Astyanax mexicanus: one gene and its partner. The protein of the gene in region 1 interacts with the protein of each later gene in a pairwise test. Links are inferred from orthologs where the notes say so. Each region holds a gene or a part of one and is shown on either strand. Other genes may lie near its edges.

Region 1 (11,017 bases):
TTACATCCTAAATATGCAAAACAAAAAATAAGAAGATTTTTTATTTTTTTTGCCAACAGTCCCATATCAGTAAGTGGGCCACAGACCACTGGGTTGAAAACCACTGGCATGAGTTATATAACAGATTTTGATCTCCTCCTGTCTCTCGTATGGTTTTCAGTATCAGTTTCCTCATCAGATTTTGTCATTCTCGTTCTCAGGTTCATGTTATTTTCATTCATGGTCACTTTCGCTTCTGGAGAATCTCCTTATTTTCTGGTTTTGATGGTCACTTTCATTTTCATTGATTAAAACAAAGTAGTCTAAAAATCAAGCTTGACAAGCTCTTGAGATGACGGCAGTATGTGGACAGGCATTGTCTTGTTGAAATAGTGCACTGAAGTTTGTATTTAAAAAAGGTAGGAGGGCTACTGGTTGCAGGACCTTATTAATGTACCACTAGGCTGTCAAAGTGTAACGAAAACTAAGCATGATCTGCAGTTGTGCAAAACTGCACCTCACACCATTACACCAGGTTTTCTAGATGTGTAGGACATGACACAATATAGTTTTGATTAATACATCCATTGCGCCGTCAAAATTACTACTACACTTAAAAAAAAAATGATGCGTAAAATTGACTTAAAAAAAAGGTTTTGCAACTTCCTGCATTTGCTTTTTTTAAGTAAGTTTAATTTTAGATAAATTTAAGTAACTTCAACTCAGTTTCAATACTTAAATGTTAGACAGAGTAAATAAGTGAACTAAACTTCAGTCAATCCTTACTTTAATTAAACTTCATTTATTTTTGCAAAATCAATTCTTTCTTTTAGCAAACTTTACTTCATTTCTGCATACAATAGTACCTAATTACAACTACTTAAAGTATACAATATTATTGTACATAATTTTAGTTAAAACACACATTCAAATATTTACATAATCTCAAAGATTTATTTTGTAAACAGACCAAGTCTCACCGTCTCCACACATGGATGGCATGTAATACATTTTTAGTATACTTTATATATTTTTAGTATACTAAAAATAATGTATTACATGCCATCCATGTGTGGAGACGGTGAGACTTGGTCTGTTTACAAAATAAATCTTTGAGATTATGTAAATATTTGAATGTGTGTTTTAACTAAAATTATGTATAATAATATTGTATACTTTAAGTAATTGTAATTAGGTAATATTGTATGCAGAAATGAAGTAAAGTTTGCTAAAAGAAAGGATTGACTGAAGTTCAGTTCACTTATTTACTCTGTGTGACATTTAAGTCTTGAAACCGAGTTAAAGTTGCTTAAATTTACATGAAATTAAATTATATAAAGGATCCTTCAGTTTGGAACAGTCTTTTATGATGTAGTGGCCAAAGAAATGCAGCCTAACTTGGCTCCAGCCTAGACTTTGGAACACAGTCTTTAGAGTCCAACAGTATATGGTCGAGCATTGTCCTGTTGGAATAGTGCATTGAAGTGTGTACTCAGAAAAGGTAGAGCCACAAGCAGCAAATATCTCCATTTATTAAAGGACCCAGTCAGGGCTGGACTGGGGAAAAAAATCGGACCTGGCGTTTTTGGTTTTGACCGGCCCCTTATAATTAGCGTAGCACAACCAACTTGTAATTTATGTATGTGGTGTTACAGAGAAGCATAACGTATCATTAGCATATTAAATATCCATTAAATATTTTTTTCTGCTGTGTGTAGTGCAATTGATTTTTTATCCTTCTTATTGAAATCATCTCTAATATGTATTTTTTTTTTAAATAAACAGATCTTAATATTTTTTTTTTTTTTTAAAGTCAACCTGAAATTTAAATCTGACCTTGTGTACCTCGTTAATTCCTGCCCCGGTCCTATTAATCACAGCTCATCATGTTCTCTCATTTAAAAGTCAAAACCATGTTTTCCTCCAACCTTTTCATTTGACTTTTGGAGCACATAGGGCACCTTATCCCATCCTTTCACTTAACAACTAACAGAAAGTGCTGAGCTCTCTTAAAGACACCCTGATACTCAGAAATGAATCATGGTATAGAACAGAAACCAGACGACCACTGTGGTTCCTTATTCATATTCACTTAGAAAGAAGAATTTCACAGATTTTCCTTATGAAGCCTGACTCTGCAATCTAACACAGGCTTTTTAAGCTGGTGCACTGTAAGCCTGGATAAGTTGAGTTTACTTAAAAAAAATTAGGAAACTGGTTGCCTTAACCCTTGTGTGGTGTTCATATTTTTGTTACTCGTTTACTTTGTTACTTGTATTTAATTCAGCAAAATTAAGCAATTTTACATTAAAATGCTTTACATATGCTCGCTTCACCTAAATTGCAAGCAATATAAACAGCTTACATGGTTAATATTTGCCCTTTACCTTTCTTATGTTACATTTCTTTTCAATTTCTTTTTATTAGTTTTTTAATAAAATGTAAAAGAAAATGAATTAAACTCAAGATATAAGTAGAAAATTTGTTTAGTTTCAAATTTACAAATGAAGCAATGTTTATTAACCCTTGGCCAAACATACTGTATGTAATATAAATGTGTAGGGGGGGGGGGGGTGGGGGTGTACAGTGTGTGTTTATCGAAAATGTGTTTTGATATATGTTTTTCACAAAACATGAGCCAATGAGTTTGAGTTAGAAAAAATATTTTTTTAGTATCATTTGATGAAAAATAAAAACACCACACAAGGGTTAATAATTAGTTAAGTAATGGGGAATGAAAACTTAAGTTAGCATAACTCAAAACATTAAGTTATTACAACTTTTTTATTTTAGTTATACTGTAAGACCGGATAAGTTCAGTTTACTTCACTTTTTAAGGCTTGCTTCTAAGGTTTGTCAATTTGTTTTTTTTAAGCAATGGGGGATGAAAACTTGAGTTAACTTAAATAAAAAATCAAGTTATTACCACTAAAGGGGAAGTTCATTTATTTCTAAGGAAGCCCAGGGGATGGAATCACTACACACTGATGGTGAGTGTTTTGTCGGAAACTGTTGGACACACCCAGTATGCAAATAGATTGTGACAGAAGCCAATGGAAAAGAAGCTGCCAATAGCAACAGACTAAGCTCAGATATGATACAGTCATATGAAAAAGTTTGGGCACCCCTATTAATCTTAATCATTTTTAGTTGTAAATATTTGGGTGTTTGCAACAGCCATTTCAGTTTGATATATCTAACAACTGATGGACACAGTAATATTTCAGGATTGAAATGAGGTTTATTGTACTAACAGAAAATGTGCAGTAAAAAAAAAAGTGGTCTCAATACAGTGCACTTTGCACAAGGAGAAGCTGTATGGGAGAGTGATGCGAAAGAAGCCATTTCTGCAAGCACGCCACAAACAGAGTCGCCTGAGGTATGCAAAAGCAAAAGCAAAAGCACACCTCAGGCGACTAAAAATGATTAAGATTAATAGGGGTGTCCAAACTTTTTCATATGACTGTAAGTTGGTTCAACTCAAATATCTCAGTTTGAATAGTACAGTATATGTGCTCTCAAACATTCAACTAACTCAAAATAGTTGAGTATTGTTTAGAAATCTCCAATTTTATGTAAAACAGACTTAAATCATTTGAGTTCAAACAGCTTATGGGTTTACAGTGTATACAGTTTGGAAACACCTTAAATTTAAGGGATCTGTAGATCAATACTAACTTCATCCAAACTATGAAGAGAAACATATGGAATTATTTAATTAACAAAAAAGGAAATATTTTATATTTTAGATAGCTTACTCCGGCTTACTACAATGGCAGTTTTGCACATCTTGGTATTTTCTCAGTTAGCTTCATGAGGTATAGAGTCACCTGGAATATCTTAATTTTTTTGCTCTCCTAATGTGTTTAAGTGCATCAGCTGTAAAGTTGTGAAGAGGTAGATTTGGTGAATAATACAGTGAATAGCTCTATTTGAGTAATGTTATTAAAAAATTAATGGCAGGAATTAATCAACTAAGTAAAGACTTTAAAAAATGACTTTAAGAAATGAAGGTCAGTCAGTTGCAGAGACCATCAAAAATGTTATGATGAAACTGGCTCTTATCAGGACCCCCCATCCCTGGAAAGGAAGAGCAAGAGTTTGCTCTGTTGCACAGGATTAGTTCATCAGTGAGTGAGTTACCAGCCTCAGAACCCACAAGTTAACAGCTCCCCAGATAAAAGAACCTAAATGCTAAATAGAGAGTATTTTGGTTTATTTAACACTTTTAACTTACTACATGATTCCATATGTGTTCCTTCATAGTCTGGATGATTTCAGTGTTCATTTACAAATTGAACATTAAGCATATTAAACCAATAGAAATATTGAATAATAAGGTGTGTCCAAACTTTTGACTGGTACTGTATATGAACAGTTAATTTGCAAAAACAGATAGAAGCCATTTTTTTAAGCATACAGTACAGGCCAAAAGTTTGGACACACCTTCTCTTTTTCAGTGCGTTTTCTTTATTTTCATGACTATTTACATTGTAGATTCTCACTGAAGCATCAAAACTATGAATGAACACATGTGGAGTTTTATGTACTTAACAAAAAAAAGTTATTTTCTAGTTTCTTCAAAATAGCCACCCTTTGCTCTGATTACTGCTTTGTACACTCTTGGCATCATTCTCTCAATGAGCTTCAAGAGGTGGCCAGAGGTTCCCAGAGGTGTTTATTAGCACTTGTTGCCCCTTTGCCTTCTTCACTCTGTGCTCCAGCTCACCCCAAACCATCTGGATTGGGTTCAGGTCCGAGGACTGTGGAGGACAGCTCATTTTTTTTTATTATTTGTTAAGTACATAAAACTCCACATGTGTTCATTCATAGTTTTGATTCCTTCAGTGAGAATCTACAATGTAAATAGTTAGAAAATAAAGAAAATGCATTCAATGAGAAGGTGTGTCCAAACTTTTGGCCTGTACTGTACCTTTAATTATTTATTTATTTATTTATTTACAATTCATATACTCTTTGCTATCTAACACCCCGTCAACAGTCTATTTTCCCACCAATAAAATAGCGTCTGAGCTTAGGAACAAATCTACACTGATGGTGTGGTGTGATAGTCTGGAAGTGAGTTGTGTTCAGGAAAATGTATAGCTTGTTGCTATTTGGATGGCAGAAAACATAGGAGCGCCACTGACTGAAATGAACCTAGACAACAGTCAATCATCAGAGTCCATTCCTATACAAGCCCGCTCACTAAACACACACACAGAGACGCAGTGCAGAGCTCAAACCTGACTTTTAACTCAACGATAAACAGAATAAAGTATAAAATAATATTGCTGTTCTCTTAAATGCGTGAAAAAAAGCATGAACATGCAGATCAGTATCCCCTGCTGAGACGCAAAAAGTGCTGTGCTGTTAAGATACGAACGTGCCAAAGTCAGAGCTCACCTGCCTCTTAAAGGTAATGGTAAGTGTCATATTGATTGGTTTATTTCACGTTAAGCTTAAAATACACACATGATTGGTTAAGAGAATTAGTACACACATTTTTTGCACCCTCACAATACCAAAGACAAACTGACACGCCCCTAAATCCAGCTGCGTGATCCGCAATTGACCAGTGTACTGTAGATCACTAAAATAGGGCACTACATCTGTATATGTACTACAATAAATTTTGTCCATATCAGTGTAAATTGTTAATAATTTATCGCTTCTCATAACCTTTATTTTTCTTTTGAATAAAATTGCAATGTGACCCTTCCATGTGGGTGCAACTATTTTTTTGTTTGTGTAATTACTCTCAAATAAACAATAAGAGTTATTGCTTCTTTGTGTACGAGAAGTACATGCCTATCATATGACTGTTCTTTTATATATAGAGCTCTGAAAAAAGAGACCACCTAAAAATGATGATTCTCTTTGATTTTACCAAATTGAAAACCTCTGGAATATAATCAAGAGGGAGATGGATGATCACAAGCCATCAAACCACCAAGCTGAACTGCTTGAATTTTTGCATCAGGAGTGAGTAGCATAAAGTTATCCAAAAGCAGTGTGTAAGACTGGTGGAGGAGATCATGCCAGAATATGCCAATATGCATGAAAACTGAGATCAAAAACCAGGGTTATTCCACCAAATATTTATTATTTCTGGACTCTTAAAACTTTATGAATATGATCTTGTTTTCTTTGAATTGAAATGAAGTCTGAAAGCTCTGCATCTTTTTTGTTATTTCATCCATTTCCCATTTTCTGCAAATAAATGCTCTAAATGAGAATATTTCTATTTGTAATTTGGGAGAAATGTTGTCTGTAGTTTATAGAGTAAAGCAACAATGTTAATTTTACTCAAACATAAACCTGTAAATAGCAAAATCAGAGAAACTGATTCAGAAACTGAAGTGCTCTCTTAATTTTTTCCAGAGCTGTAACACTTCTTAAGTGATATCAGCACTACAATAGTAAATCATAGGGCTTTTTTTTTTGTTTGTTTTAATTTATTGTTAATTTTATGTACAGTATCTTATACCATGTGAAAGCCCCTACTGCACTGTAAACCATGTGAACATTTCATCATGAACAGAATTAGCATCACATATAACAACAACCGAAACTCACAAACCACAAAAGACCCCCAAACCCTGCAGTGAATCGATACATATATATATGAACGGTATATTTAGACGGTGGCAGAATGCTTTTATGAAAATAGCCGTAGCACGTATTGAGTCTGATGTATAAGCAGGCACTGAAAGTTGATGTTGGACGGTGAGATAAGTTGAATGGTTTGCTTGTTCTGCCTCTCACTTCTGCATTTTGGCTCTGGGGTTGAATACCGTGTCCTGGAAGGAAGCTAAACTCAACAGCACTGACATTTGAGGAAGGAGGCTGCTGCTGGCTGGAGAGGAGCTACGCAAAAAAAAAAAAACAAGGCTCGGATTGCTCTGCGAACCCAAAAACACCAGGGTAGGTTCTGTATCTCTTTCCTGCAAGGTGACGAACTGTGTTTTTTTTTTTGGGAGTTTTATTGTTAGCAATGAAAAACAAGTAAAATGTTCATTTACAGTGAACATACTTGGCTGAATTGAGTAATATAACATCAGAGTTAGTTGTGCAGTTGAAGTTGTGCCATGAGTAAGGTTTTTCTTAGTGAAATTTGGGTCACACTTTACTTGGATGGTCCATCTTACAGCCTTGTTGATGCTCAACTGACATTCAACTAACACTGAATTGAATGTCCTTTAAATTGAACTTAACCCTATGTTAAATGTAAATCATTCAAAATAGAACTTAACCCTACATCTAACCCTAACCTTAACCCTTAATCAACCCTAAAATCTAACCCTACACCTAACCCTAACCTTAACCCTTAATCAACCCTAAAATCTAACCCTACACCTAACCCTAACCATTAATAAACCCCTTAAAATCTAACCCTACACCTAACCCTAACCATTAATAAACCCCTTAAAATCTAACCCTACACCTAACCCTAACCTTAACCCTTAATCAACCCTAAAATCTAACCCTACACCTAACCCTAACCTTAACCCTTAATCAACCCTAAAATCTAACCCTACACCTAACCCTAACCATTAATAAACCCCTTAAAATCTAACCCTACACCTAACCCTAACCATTAATAAACCCCTTAAAATCTAACCCTACACCTAACCCTAACCTTAACCCTTAATCAACCCTAAAATCTAACCCTACACCTAACCCTAACCATTAATAAACCCCTTAAAATCTAACCCTACACCTAACCCTAACCATTAATAAACCCCTTAAAATCTAACCCTACACCTAACCCTAACCATTAATAAACCCCTTAAAATCTAACCCTACACCTAACCCTAACCTTAACCCTTAATCAACCCTAAAATCTAACCATACACCTAACCCTAACCTTAACCTAAGCTTAAAATCTAACCCTACACCTAACCCTTACCTTAAGCCTTAATCAACCCTAAAATCGAACCCTACACCTAACCTTAAGCCTTGATCAACCCTAAAATCTAACCCTACACCTAACCCTAACCTTAACCCTTATTCAACCCTAAAATCTAACCCTACACCTAACCCTAACCCTACCCTTAACCTAAGCTTAAAATCTAACCCTAAACCCAATGCTAAAATATTGGATTAGAGCTGAATGTAGGGTTATATTTAATAGAGAATCATTTACTTTCCCCTTTTAGTTCATTTGCATTTAATAAACATGTAGTTGAATGTTAGTTAGGGCACAAAACAAATCCATGATTAATTGGCGTGACAACCCATGACAAGGCGTGAGGTGCAAGATGTATTTTTTTGTGCCCTCTCGATACCAAGGACACACAGACACACCCTAAATCCAGCTGCCTGATCCAAAATTAATCGGAGTCAGAGCTCAAAAGTCTTAGCTTTTTTTTTTTTTACATTACATCAGCACCTTTAACAATTTTATTTTGCAAGGTCTGTGTTTAAAGTAGACTTAATTTTAAAAAACTGATTAATGACACTTTTTTTAACTCTTTTGGATTACCTTCTGCTGAATAAAAGCACGTATAGCAGTTTGGGAACTACAAGGTTGGAGCAATATTCAAAAATGTCAAGAAATGTCAGACTACCTCAGAACTGTCTGCAAGGCCTCAGTTTCCACGTGTTCAAATAAATAGTGCCAGATCAGGAGATGGCTAAACTGTAAGAATATCATTTAATTTTCGTTAGCTAATTCCTCAGTTTGTGATGCTTGGTTAGGTTAAAATCTGAAAGACCAAGACTCAAACTCTCAGAGAATTTTCATTTAAAATAAATAAATCAAAAGTATACTGTCAAAATAAAAGAAAATCTATTTGTTATATATTATTTACTATACAATTCTTTAAAAACTAAATACGCTTTTAGATGATAAGTTTTAGCAGTTTCTGTAATTTTACATAAACATATTTTTGTTATGCTGATATGCCATCATCACTATTGAAGCAGTTACAATGCACAAGAACACTTTGCCCCAATAATCAAAAATAAATGTACAATAATAGTCATTTTTGGCAACAGGAAGTCCTAAAAATGTCTATAAAACATGTCTATAAAAGTGACTGGCACTCCTGATAACAGAAAATGCAGATTTCTTACATGTATTTTTATAAAAGTTTGAAATAAAATGACTAAATAGTTGCCAGTTTTCAGAGACAATGTCCGACACGGCTGCTGCCACAAAATTACAGTTTTATTTTGTATTTTTTAGCAGCATATTGCAGTCTATTGACACTTAAACTCCACCTAGCAGTGGCGTGCACAGACACTTTGGGGGGCAAGTGCTCAGGAGGGAAAAAGGGCACTTTTTAGCTCATGTGGAACACTTCATTAAAATAAAAGTTATCTATCATTGATTTGGGCTAGAGCGGCTAGTTTATCTGGTGACCAGTCGGTTAAAGATGCTTAGTAGTTTGGTGCTGTATGAGACATTTTACTGCACAACAAACTGATTTCACGTTGGGCTTAGAGGGCAAACGGTAGGATTTTACTTGATGTGTATGTTACCTGGCTGGTGGGACACGGAGGAGAAGAAGCTGTTGTTATCTGTTGCTGTGCGTACTGTGCTGAAGACTCGCTGAACTGAACTGCTGCTGCAGCGCATCTAGTGTGCCTTGCGCGCGACGGCCCGGGGTCACGTGACAGAGGAAGAGAGAGGTCGGGAGTGTGCGAGCTGATTTCAGGGCATTCTGTTTTCACTCGTTTTTAATCGCTCAGGTTTTCAAAAGATCATTTATTAAAAAGATCACTTAATAATATATATATATATATATATATATATTTTTTTTTTTTTTTTTTTTTTTTTTAAACAAAGTTTCAAAAGGACACTTTGGTTAATAAAGGGCAGAGTTGATGTCTATGTCTGCACGCCTCTGCCACCTAGTCAGTAAGTACACTGCACTGACACTTTCAAGGACAATTACATATTTAAAAACTAATCCTGTCACTTTACCCGCACAAAGATACATTATCACTTTATTGTGTTTATGCTTTTCATTCACACTTACGTATCCATGATGCTACAGCAAAACTTACACTCTGAACGTAATGTTGCTGCTACTTCTCTACTATATTTTATTCTATTCTATTCTATTTTATTTTATCTTTATATTTATCTATTTTAACAATTGCTCTTTGGGTGTAACTGGACCGTGAGAATACAATTTCGTTCCAAAGTGTTTTTTATGAACTGAACATGCAAACGTTTGCTTTTGGCCTCTTTTCTTTTTTGCTATTTTAATTATTTTATTTCAGAGATCGATTCATTTTTCTACTGACAGTAAAAGGTCATTGGATCAGGGGTCACTGAAACGTGTGCATGCTGCTGAATATCAGATTGCAGGTGTGAAGACCTGAGCAGTGTTGGTCAGGGTCAGGTTTTTATACCCAGAAAACTGGGTCAGAACATTTCTGGGGTGGGGTTCTGGAGTGTCCCTAGTCAGCAGTGGGTAATTTTTTGCCAAGAACGTTTGAGGAAAGACAAACCACAATCCAGAATCAGGGTGAGGTTTGGGTGCGCACACTTTAAACTCTTTAGTAGACAAGTGTAACTAAAGCTTTAAGCAAATCGTATTCGGTTTTTCAAATCGGATCTGTTTAGATGACAGAAAATGTCTGTATGGGTAGCTGTGGCTGGCTTCTTAAACCCCAACATCTCTGTATCTCACGCGGGCCAGACGAGACGTAGACATGCGCAGGTTTTTAATGTAAAGTTTATGAGCAAAATGGTAAAACTTTAATCAATCAATTACTCAATCAAGCGATCAACCTTTATTTTCACTCGGGAAAACATTGAGGGTGACCCTCATTTACAATGTTGCCGAGCGTTTACAGCATCAAAGAGATTGAAAACATTTAATAAGAAATTAAAAAAAATAAGGAATAAAATTGTAAAAAATAATAAATAAAATAAATACTCATTTTAAATCAACATTTAATATATATATATATATATATATATATATATATATATATTCATAAAATATATATGTAAAATAGAACATTCTAAAAGACCATAAAAAACTAAATTGACACATAAAATGTTAAGAATTTATAA
Region 2 (10,256 bases), on another chromosome or scaffold:
CAATGGATTATTTAATAAAGGTATAAGTTTTTGGTATATATATATATATATATATATATATATATATATATATATATATATATATATATATATATATATATATATATATATATATATATATATATAACCAAACTCTGACTTTATCCTGGACTTCATAATGCAGTTTGATTAGGCAATACTTATCTAACAAGCTCAGAAGTCCCTCTGGAAACACTTTGATAGCATTTGATTGAGCCAGAAATAATTTAGGGGATTTAAAAGTATTTTAAAGAGGTGAATACTGGAGCAATAATGTGATGCTTTTTATTTAAAAACTATTTGCAGACTACACCTGAATTTTATTACAGTACAATGGACTACTTGATACTGATTCATGACATAAAATCTCAATAAAACATCTTTGAATTCCAGACTGTAGCACTACAAAATGTCAGAAGATTCAAGGGTGAATACTTCCACTTATAAAAATAAATTTAAAGTAGTGAATTGGATTATTATTTGTGTTTATTGCTCTTTATGTTCTGTCATATGGAAACAAGGTCACATATAAATGGCTTTCAGAAATAGTCCTTACTAATTTCTTTTAGATTTTTTGCTTTTGCAGTGTGTGTGTAGCTTTGAAAATGGCAACCTTCAGCAGAATTATAAAAACAAGGCTATCTGCCATCTCCATCGGTCAAACACAACTCATGTTTCCTGCTTTAAACCTAACCTGCAGATAGTTTCTAACCAAAAAAATTCAAACCAGTAGCGAAAATAAAAATATATTTATACATATAAATAAAACTTTTTACTGCATAAAACGTTTAGACTTAATATAGCTGTAAATAGCAGGGAATAACACTTCCACTGGGCTTACACTTTCATTTCTTTTACAACTGGAAATTAAAAGATTAACTTTATCAGACCACGTCCTCTGCTGTAAACAAACATTGCAAAGTCCACACTGCAAAGCATTAAAACTAGATTGCATCACTGGAGCACTTATTAACATAAGCTGCAACAATGGGGTTGATGTTCTTAATTTAAGTAGCTACATAAATATCAGGGAATTTACTGCCACTTATTGAACATCAATTTTCAAACTGAAAGTGAATGACCTTTTTTCCAGTCCTCAGCATTTGTTCGGTCACTAGAGTGACGTCTATATGGAGGGGTCAATTAGATAATTGCCTGCCAGCGTAAAACTGATGGAAAATGCTGCAGCCTACATAGCAGATGCAATAGCTTTACTATGATGACAATTTCTCTGCTTTATTTGGCTTGAACTGTTTCATGTTTTGTTCCCGACAATTGTTCTGTTATTACTTAGTGTTTTATATGTCTAAAAATATTACACATGTAAGAGCAAGGCATATACATACATCTTGTTAACACAGCAAAAAGAATGTACAGTGTTTGCGGACAGCCGAGAGAGAGAGAGAGAGAGCCCTACACAACACTATGAGAGGCCTCACCCTCATAATGGACAGGGATCTCGATTTTCGGTCCGATGACATAATGGCCCTCCTCCAGGCTATGAGCAGTAATCGTGGTCCACTGCCGACATGAATGAATCAAGAGGTAGTCATTTTCTCTTAGCCCTTCCACCGATTCCCCTGGAGAAAAAGACACTTATCTACATCAATATGGAAATATGACACTATAGTATCAGCACAATAAGTCAGGTAAGGCCACAGAGACAAGCAGGCATTCAGAGATATAATCTCAACACAAATAAATGTTTCATGTAGCAACACTGAAATATTGTAACAGAGTTAAACCAGGCCAGCCCTCTGAATTTAATTAAGCTAATATCAAGCCTGCGTTCTCAACTCGAGGGAATGCTCAGGGAAGTCATTTACATAAAAATCTACGGATGTAGCCTTTCCAGATTGCATCTCCATGCAAATCACTTTCATTCACTAATTCCCACCCAGACGAGTTATTCATCTTTTCAGCTCCTGACCTGACTAAGTGAAGTGAATGTGTCACAGACAGCAGGGTGCCATTAAAGTGCTCATCTGGGTTCCTTATTAATGATTCAGGCTTTGTGTGGATGCAGGCAGAGGAGATTATGCCAGACAGTTCCCAGAATTTTCCCTCAATGGTTTGTCCCAAATTACTTCAGAATTTAAGACAGACGGTAATATTACCTCAGCATTTCAGCACATTTGGGAGGTGAAATAAGATGATGAGAGTTTTGTGATCACAGAGCTAAAGGACAGATTTTTTTGTGTAGAAGCATGATATTAAATGTATACAGTATAGTGCAAAAACTTTATTTTCCTTACTTTTTTTTATTTTTCTTCCTTCTAGCTTTCTCTGTCGCTCCAAACAATAGCAACAGCTAAATGTGGGATTTAAATGCTCTTTAAATGTCCTGAACATTGTTCTGGATGGTGCAGCTATTTAGTGTGTGTCATCTGATGTGTTTGGGCACTTTTGGAGATGCAGGTCAAGTTTAGTGTTACCCTTTTCCCATTGTGTTTCTGACCTTCGTACTTTGCTTAGTGCTACAGGTTAACAATTAGTCGTCAATGAACATCTTTAATGAGCATTTACCTACTAATTATTAATAGAGCTGCAACAATAAGTCGATATAATCGACAATGTTATATATATTTTTTATTTGTCTACTACAAATTTCATTGTCAACTAATACTTAATTTGTGACCGTAACAGTACACATTACACACAAGTGCTATGGACAGAAACACAATGTGAGATAAATGGGTTACTCACACAGGTTACACTCAACTTAGTCTGTGTCTCTGAACTTTCCATGTTTAAACAACATCTAGACATTTAAATGGCGTATAAATCTTTTTTTAGCTGTTTTTATCATTTGACAGATGTAGAACATTGTAAAAATAATCGCTGACTAATCGACTGATCGTTAGATTGGTCAACTAACAAAACACTCATTAGTTGCAGCCCTAATTATAACAAAAAAATAAATAAATTTACAAACTTAGCTAATGCGTTCATCTTAGAAACTAAACAAAAAGGCCAATATTAGTGTTAACAAAAAAAAGGTTTGTTGATCACAATATTGTATGATAAGTCAATAATGTAGCAAATTATTGTGAGAGGCCTGGTTATTATCAAACACCTAGTTTGCTAAGTCAGTGCTTAATGACGTTATATCAGGGAAGCTGGTGATGGAATTGAACACTGTGTCCAACAAACATCTGGAACCAAGCTTTGTTCATTCAAATATTAAGTAAATGTCTTCAAATTGTGACAGCCTTGACAACCATATGCATACAGTTATCACTGGGGCAATCTTTCTCTGTAAGTAAACCAAATCTCTGTTGTCAAGCCAGTTCCTACACCAACAGAGAGAGCAAGAAGACCAACCTTTCTGCGGATCCTGTGATTTACAGCTCCTAACCGCTAGCAGGTTTACGGGCTGGACCTGACTTTAGTGCTTTAGCTATAGTTCAGTGTGCCTTAGCTGCACATAACATAGTTAAGAACAATACTATCTAACCTAGATAACTAGGTCAGCGGTTTCAACTCTGTTGACAACACCTAAAGTAAACTAGATTCAACATTGGCGTTTAAACTAAAAAAATATAAGCAATATGGTGAGTCTGGGATAGAGGTGGGTAAGCAAGCTCCAGAAAGTAAAAATCCATCCCCGGGTTTTGTACCAACTGCCTGGGCGGCTCTGCTGCAGCTGGCAGATGGTACAAAACCCTGTGGTGGATTTTTACTTTCTGGAGCTGCCTTACCCACCTCTAGTCTGTGAATACCTAACCTAAGCTAGCTAATAATATTTTTGTTACTCGACATTATGGACTGTAACTTTAGTTTCAGTGGTTAACACTGACCTGACCTGTTAGAAAGAACATGGCTAGCTAGATTACCTAGATATCCACTAATAAAACACAGCTAGCTAACGCTTCCCTGCTGCAATATTATTATTATTAAAGGCTGGCTAACCTAACTTTATGATGGCCAGCAGTCCACCAGCACTGACAATGGAGCTAACGAGCTAACTAACTTTAGCAGGCGTGCTAAGCTAACCAGCCAGAGCTAATGCTCGGAATTCCAGGCGAGCTACAACGCCACCCACGCTCGGGAGTTGGAGCGAGTTTATCCGAGCCAAAACTCGCCTAGTACCAACTAAAGCCGCCCAAAAACACATCCCACACCTGCAGCCGAGTTTATTAAAGTCCAGTTTATAAGTCCAGCCTTACCGCCGTCCAGCTTCACAATCTGCGGGAGTCTGTAGGCGCTGACCAGCCGATCCAGGGGCAGAGTGGTGGAGCTCCAGGTCACATCTTTCAAACTGTTGTACAGCATTGAACCCACGTCCATGGTAGCTCGCTCGCTAACACCAGCGCCTCATGCCTCACCGCCCAGTTCTCCCGCGGCGCAGAGCGGCTGCTGGTTCATGGAGAGAGCGCTCCGGCGGCCGCTCTTTCCCCCTCACCTAAAGGACGAGGCCATGGCAGCCCGACGGCTCTGTTTACACTCACAGGAAATGCCATGGCTCTCTCTGACCATAGAGATCTGGAGCCGCTTCCTCCTCTCACACCACTGGCTGCTCGGGTTGCCCGGGAAACCGCCGCCGTGAATGGCTAAACTCCTCCTAATCCATAAATACAGATTTTTATCTCATATAAAAACAGACAATTATGCGTTATTGAAAAATATAAGAAGATGAAACAATAATCTAATAATCTTATAATAATCCTAATTAATAATATTAAAATCATAACAAAATATTAAATAGATAAATGTCGCTTTGCCAAATCCTCCCCAGTATGGGCTACTACTAAATATGAGTTTCTTTGATTTTACCAAATTGAAAGCCTCTGGAATATAATCAAGAGGAAGTTGAATTTTCACAAGCCATCAAACCAAGCTGAACTTCTTGAAGTTTTGCAACAGGAGTGGCATAAAGTTATCCAAAAGCAGTGTGTAAGACTGGTGGAGGAGAACATGCCAAGATGCATGAAAACTGTGATTAAAAACCAGGGTTATTCCACCAAATATTGATTTCTGAACTTCTAAAACCTTATGATTATGAACTTGTTTTCTTTGCATTATTTATTTATATAAAAACTCCTTTTTCATTCTGTTTTTCGTTTTCTGCAAATTAATGCTCTAAATGGCAATAGTTTTATTTGAAATTTAGGAGAAATGTTTATTTAAAATCACACATTTTTCAAATGAAAAATGTTGCCATGTTGTACTGATGTGAACCAAGAGCAATTAGGTCACAAAATCGTTTTATACATTTCCTCAAACTCAACCAGTTGTTGTGGTATACACCTGTATACAGAGTTTCAAGATAGTAAAAAGCTACATATATTTACATATTTTCTGCCTTATAGTTTATTACTAAAGTCACCCATACTATGAAGAAATACATATACATTTAAAAAATATATATTTTACATTATTCAAAGTAACACCTTGCGTGAATGACAGTTTTAAACATCTCAACATTTTCTCAGTCAGCTTTATGAGGTAGAGTCACCTGGAATGACTTTCAGTTAACAGCTGTGCTGAACTTGTCAAGAAGTAATGTCTTGAATGTCTTGCCCTTTTAAGGTGTTTGAGAGCATCAGTTGTAAAGTTGTAAAGAGGTATAGTTGGTATACAGTGAATAGCCCTATTTAAATTATGTTCAAATCCATATTATGGCAAAAACTACTCAACTAAGTAAAGAAAAAAATGACTTTAAGAAATTAAGGTAAATTAATCCGAAAAATTTTAAGAACTTTGAAAGTATCCCCAAGAGCAGTCACAAAGACCATCTAAAATGAAACTGGCTTTCATCAGGACTGCTCCAGGAAAATTACCTCTGTTGCATCATAGTTACCAGCCTCAGAAACCGCAGGTTAACAGCACCCCATGCTTAAAAATATGTTCAAATGTTTGTTTTCTGTTCTCTGAGTGTAATCATTATATTAACCTAATAAATTGTCATCCCCTTTTTGTTTAATCTTTATTAGTATATGTCAATGCAACTTTTGAGACTATTAAACCAGGTCCAGCTCATCAGCTGTGATTGATTAGAATATGGTTAGAGAGGATTCTGGAGGAGCCTGTCTTTTTTAAACCTCAGATATTAAGTCTGGTTTGCTGTTGATTGCTAAAGTTTCATAACTCAAAGAGTTCTCTGAGGACTGTAGAAAGAAGGTTGTAGATGTAGACGAGTCTGAGGAGGGATATAAAAAGATCTCAAATCCATCAGCCTTGCACAAGACAGTCATGGGGCTGGTTTCATTTTTTTGTTTCTGGGTTACTTTTCCTGGAACAGCTGTTTTGTGGCAATGTGTGTGTTGTAAAATGACCACACAAATAAAATTGAATGGAGGGGGGGATTCTCAGTCCATTGTCTTTTCTGGACCTGTGCCAGCTCTAATACAGTTACAGAGAAAGTTAATCTGCCATAGGAAATAATGAGCAGCCAGCTCTGATTGAAGCACTTCCTCTTTGACAGTAAGAGGCTGTTCCGAGCTGAGTTGGTTCTCAATAACAGGGAAGAGCCATTTCAGTGAGGTTTCAGCAGCAGTGAAGGGAACATGTCTTTTGTGAGCACTCTGCGGCAGTGGGATGAAGCAGTGGCTTATGCAGAGAAAGGAGATGTAGCCGCAGCCCTCAGGACATTCCAGGACATTGAGGAGAAGACTTCTAAAATCGCCTTCAACATTGGATGCCTCCATCTGAACGCTGATGACTTTGAGGCTGCTGAGAAGGTAAAGTCGACTGTAGACTCTTGGCCTTGTCAAAAAGGTCATAGATAAAGTTATCAGATTATAATAAGTAGCTTCAAAACTTAAAATATTGTAAAACAGAATGCTACAGTATCGTTTTCTAATGTTCTTCTTAAAATAAATGTTACTTTGAAAAAGGAGAAGTAAAAGTTGTTTCAGGCTTTTAAGAGGAAACTCTCTAATCTCTCATTTCAAGGCATTTGACTGCAGTATCAGAAAAGATGAGCATCTGGCTGTGGCTTTTTTTCAAAGGGGAATTACATTCTACAAAAAAGAAAAGTAAGTGCTTCAGTGATTATTTAGTACCATGTTTAATTTTGCCACATGCAACAGAATAAGTAGGGAAGTGTGAAGGTTGAATCAATGTTTTTTTTTTGTTTTGTTTTGCTAAATAATTTTAATTAAATATTTTATTAGAAAAATATTATATATAAAAGAGTTTTCAAAATGTTTTACACAAAAACCCTAAACATCTCATAGGGATTTTTAGTGTAACAGACTAAAGAGCTAATTGAAACAGTGGCTGAAAGTACACTGCCTGGGGAAAAAAAAGTCAGCTCACTACCTGAATATACTGAATATAGACCAGGTTATTCCATCAATGAATTCTTTTATCTTCCCTGATGGCACAGGCATATTCCAAGATAACAATGTCAGGATTCATGTTGCTGGAATTGTAAAATAGTGATTCAGGGAGCATGAAATCATCATTTTCACACATGGATTGTTCACCACAGAGTCCAGATCTTAACCTCATTGAGAATCTTTGGGATGTTCTGCGCTTTGTGCAGCGGTCAGACTCTACCATCATCATTGCAAGATCAGTGAAAAATGAATGCAACACTGGATAAGTCTTGTGTCATTGCAGAAGCGTATTAAAACAATGCCACAGCAAATGTGTGCTGCAATCAAAGCTAAAGGTGATCCAACCAAATATTAGATTGTGTGAACTTTTTTTTAGTGGCTACGTTTTTTTGGCCAGGCAGTGTAGATTTGACTAGTCTTTAAGCTAAAGAACAATGCACTGCCCGTCTCCTGCACTGCATATGGATGTGACTTCTCACCAGACACCACTGGTCACTGTCATTACCATCCACTGTGCGTGCTGTTTACTGTGCTTGCACCATTTCAGAAATGGAATGATCCATTTATCTGGCACCCACTATTAGAAATTGCTGTAATTCCCATAATTCACTTTGCCTGTGTTCAGCCACACTTATAAAACAACACCTCGCAACTTTTACAGGTGTTCGTACTCCCAAGCTGTCCCAGGATGTAAACAATACTTCACAATTAATAAATTTGCACACTGCTATTCCATGACTTTTGGCATGTCAAAACACACATACATATCTGAACTTAAATAAACAGGATTAGAGAAATAAAAACATCTCATAAATGGCAAATTGTATTCTGATAATACATATCAGAACAATAGCACTGATATATGAGGGGACATGGACTTTTTTTATGTTTTTTGGGGAGGTTATATGTAACACTGTTATATGTAACCAGACCTTGTTGTGTGGAGGCTATATCTTTGCCTGGCCCTGATCTGAAAAACTGTAAAGTGTCTGGTGAAGTAATCATGACATTAAAGCAGAAATCAGGTGTGAAATGGACTTGGGATGTAGTGAAACATGACAAACGTTTGTTTAAAAAAAACATATTCTTACGCCCTCTGGATTACGAAATACAGCAAAAGCAGCCAATGTTAGCAACATAAAAAAAAATATATATATATAGCATTGTTACCTGTCCCCACTCTCTAACTATAGATTTTACCATAAAATATAATTATTAAAATCCTTCAGAGATTTTTGCATTGTTGCGTGAGTCCAAAACGCATCTATGCTTAATTTTTTTTTTTTTTTCACAATAAATCCATAATATTTAAGTTAAATACACATTTTAGTTGTCACTTGGTTACACTCATACTTGTTCCTTGGGGTCTAGGTGCTCTGACTGTGAGACTGACACTACTGCTCTCACTGAGGCGGCTCAGGGATTATGTCACATGCAGCGCCGTGCGCAGTGCCCTAGTGCCTGTAAATTTAATGGTCCAATGAAGGTCATTTAAAAACTAGGACATTTCCTCACTTTTTGAAAAAAACCCGGGACGCCTGGGACAGGACGTGAAATACTGACGTTTGGTCACCCTACACTACACCCAAAGTTAATTGCGCACCAGATTGTTCCTTTATTGCACACAAAACTGTCTGATTAAAACACTTCCTTTTAAAATAAGATGACCAAATCCATTCAGCCAGAATGTGTTGAAGTACATGATCTTTAATATGTTAGCTACATTTTCCACAAATGTTAGCTTGTGGTGTGTCTCTTGTCTGCCTTGTGAAACTGGAGGGAATTTGATGTAACGTTGCAGTGCCCACAGTGTTTCACTAACAGGAAACATGTTGAGAAAGGGCTTCGTTTTTTTTTATCAGTAGAGCTTGCACTGCAGATTTAAATAAAGCGTAATATCTAAATATATCTCCTTACAGATTTGAGGAATCACTTCTGGACTTCCAGCAAGCCTTTAAGGAGCTAAGAGGAAACCAGTTGATAGACTACAAACCTCTTGGCCTGAGGTATAAACTTTATGCTAGTGAGGTAAGAACTGTTTGGACTTACATATGATTGTAAACAGAAAATTAGATAAATAAAAATAGAGGTGTGAAATTTGTCATAACAATATTTTTTAGATTATTAAACAAACTTTAAAATCAGACACATATAACCTGAATAAATTTAAAAATAATTTTTTAAATAATTGTTTTATTTATTAAAGGAAAAAACTATTCAAGCCCAATCTAGACCTGTGTAAAAAGTGGTTGCCCCTAAACCTAACAACTTGGTTGTGCCACCACTGGCAGCAACAACTGCAATCAAGCTTACCAATAACTGGTAAAGAGTCTTTCACATCTCTGTGGAAGAATTTGGTTCCTCTCTTCTTTGCAGAATTGTTGTAATTCAGCCACATTGGAGGGTTTTCAAGCATGAACGTCCTGTTTAAAATCATCCCGCAGCATTTCGACCAGACTTTGACTAGGACACTCCAAAACCTTTGTTTTGTTTTTTAAAGCCATTCAGAGGTGGACTTGTTTGTGTGCTTTGAATCATTGTCCTGCTGCAGAACCCAAGTACGGCTGAGCTTGAGGTCACAAACAGATAACCAGCAGTATTCCTGGTTCCATCTATAAAAGCACGTTGTTCAGGCCCTAAATAAGCAAAGCAGTCTGAGACCATCACACTACCACCACCATGTTTTACATTCAGTGTGGTATTCTTTTTTTCTGGAATTATGTGTTAGTTTTATGCCAAATGCAATGGGACACACACCTTCCAAAAAGTTCCACTTTTGTCACGTCAGTCCGAAAAATATTTAGCCAAAGTCCTGGGGATCATTAAGATGTTTTTTTTGGCAATTGTGAGACGGGCCATTATGTATTATGTGTTATTAGCACTGACCTTAACTGAGCTAAAAGACCTACAGTCTTTAAAATGTTGTTCTGGATTCTATTGTGACCTCCTCGA

Evidence for each region.
Region 2: the proteins of grap2a (region 1) and garem interact in binary tests that used the Homo sapiens proteins (3 or more experiments, as listed by UniProt). The link is inferred for Astyanax mexicanus from reciprocal best matches to the Homo sapiens genes GRAP2 and GAREM1.

The regions. Positions count from the first base shown.
Region 1 is NC_064426.1:7,147,935-7,158,951, forward strand, and holds the start of grap2a (GRB2-related adapter protein 2a), read left to right. Parts: upstream 1-6,783; 5' UTR 6,784-6,906; intron 6,907-11,017. UniProt on the Homo sapiens protein: Interacts with SLP-76 to regulate NF-AT activation. Binds to tyrosine-phosphorylated shc.
Region 2 is NC_064415.1:33,924,215-33,934,470, forward strand, and holds the start of garem (GRB2-associated and regulator of MAPK protein 1), read right to left. Parts: upstream 4,515-10,256; 5' UTR 4,309-4,514; coding exon 4,188-4,308; intron 1,599-4,187; coding exon 1,458-1,598; intron 1-1,457. Other genes in the region: ncf2 (neutrophil cytosol factor 2), read left to right, coding at 6,528-6,701, 6,916-6,998, 9,224-9,332.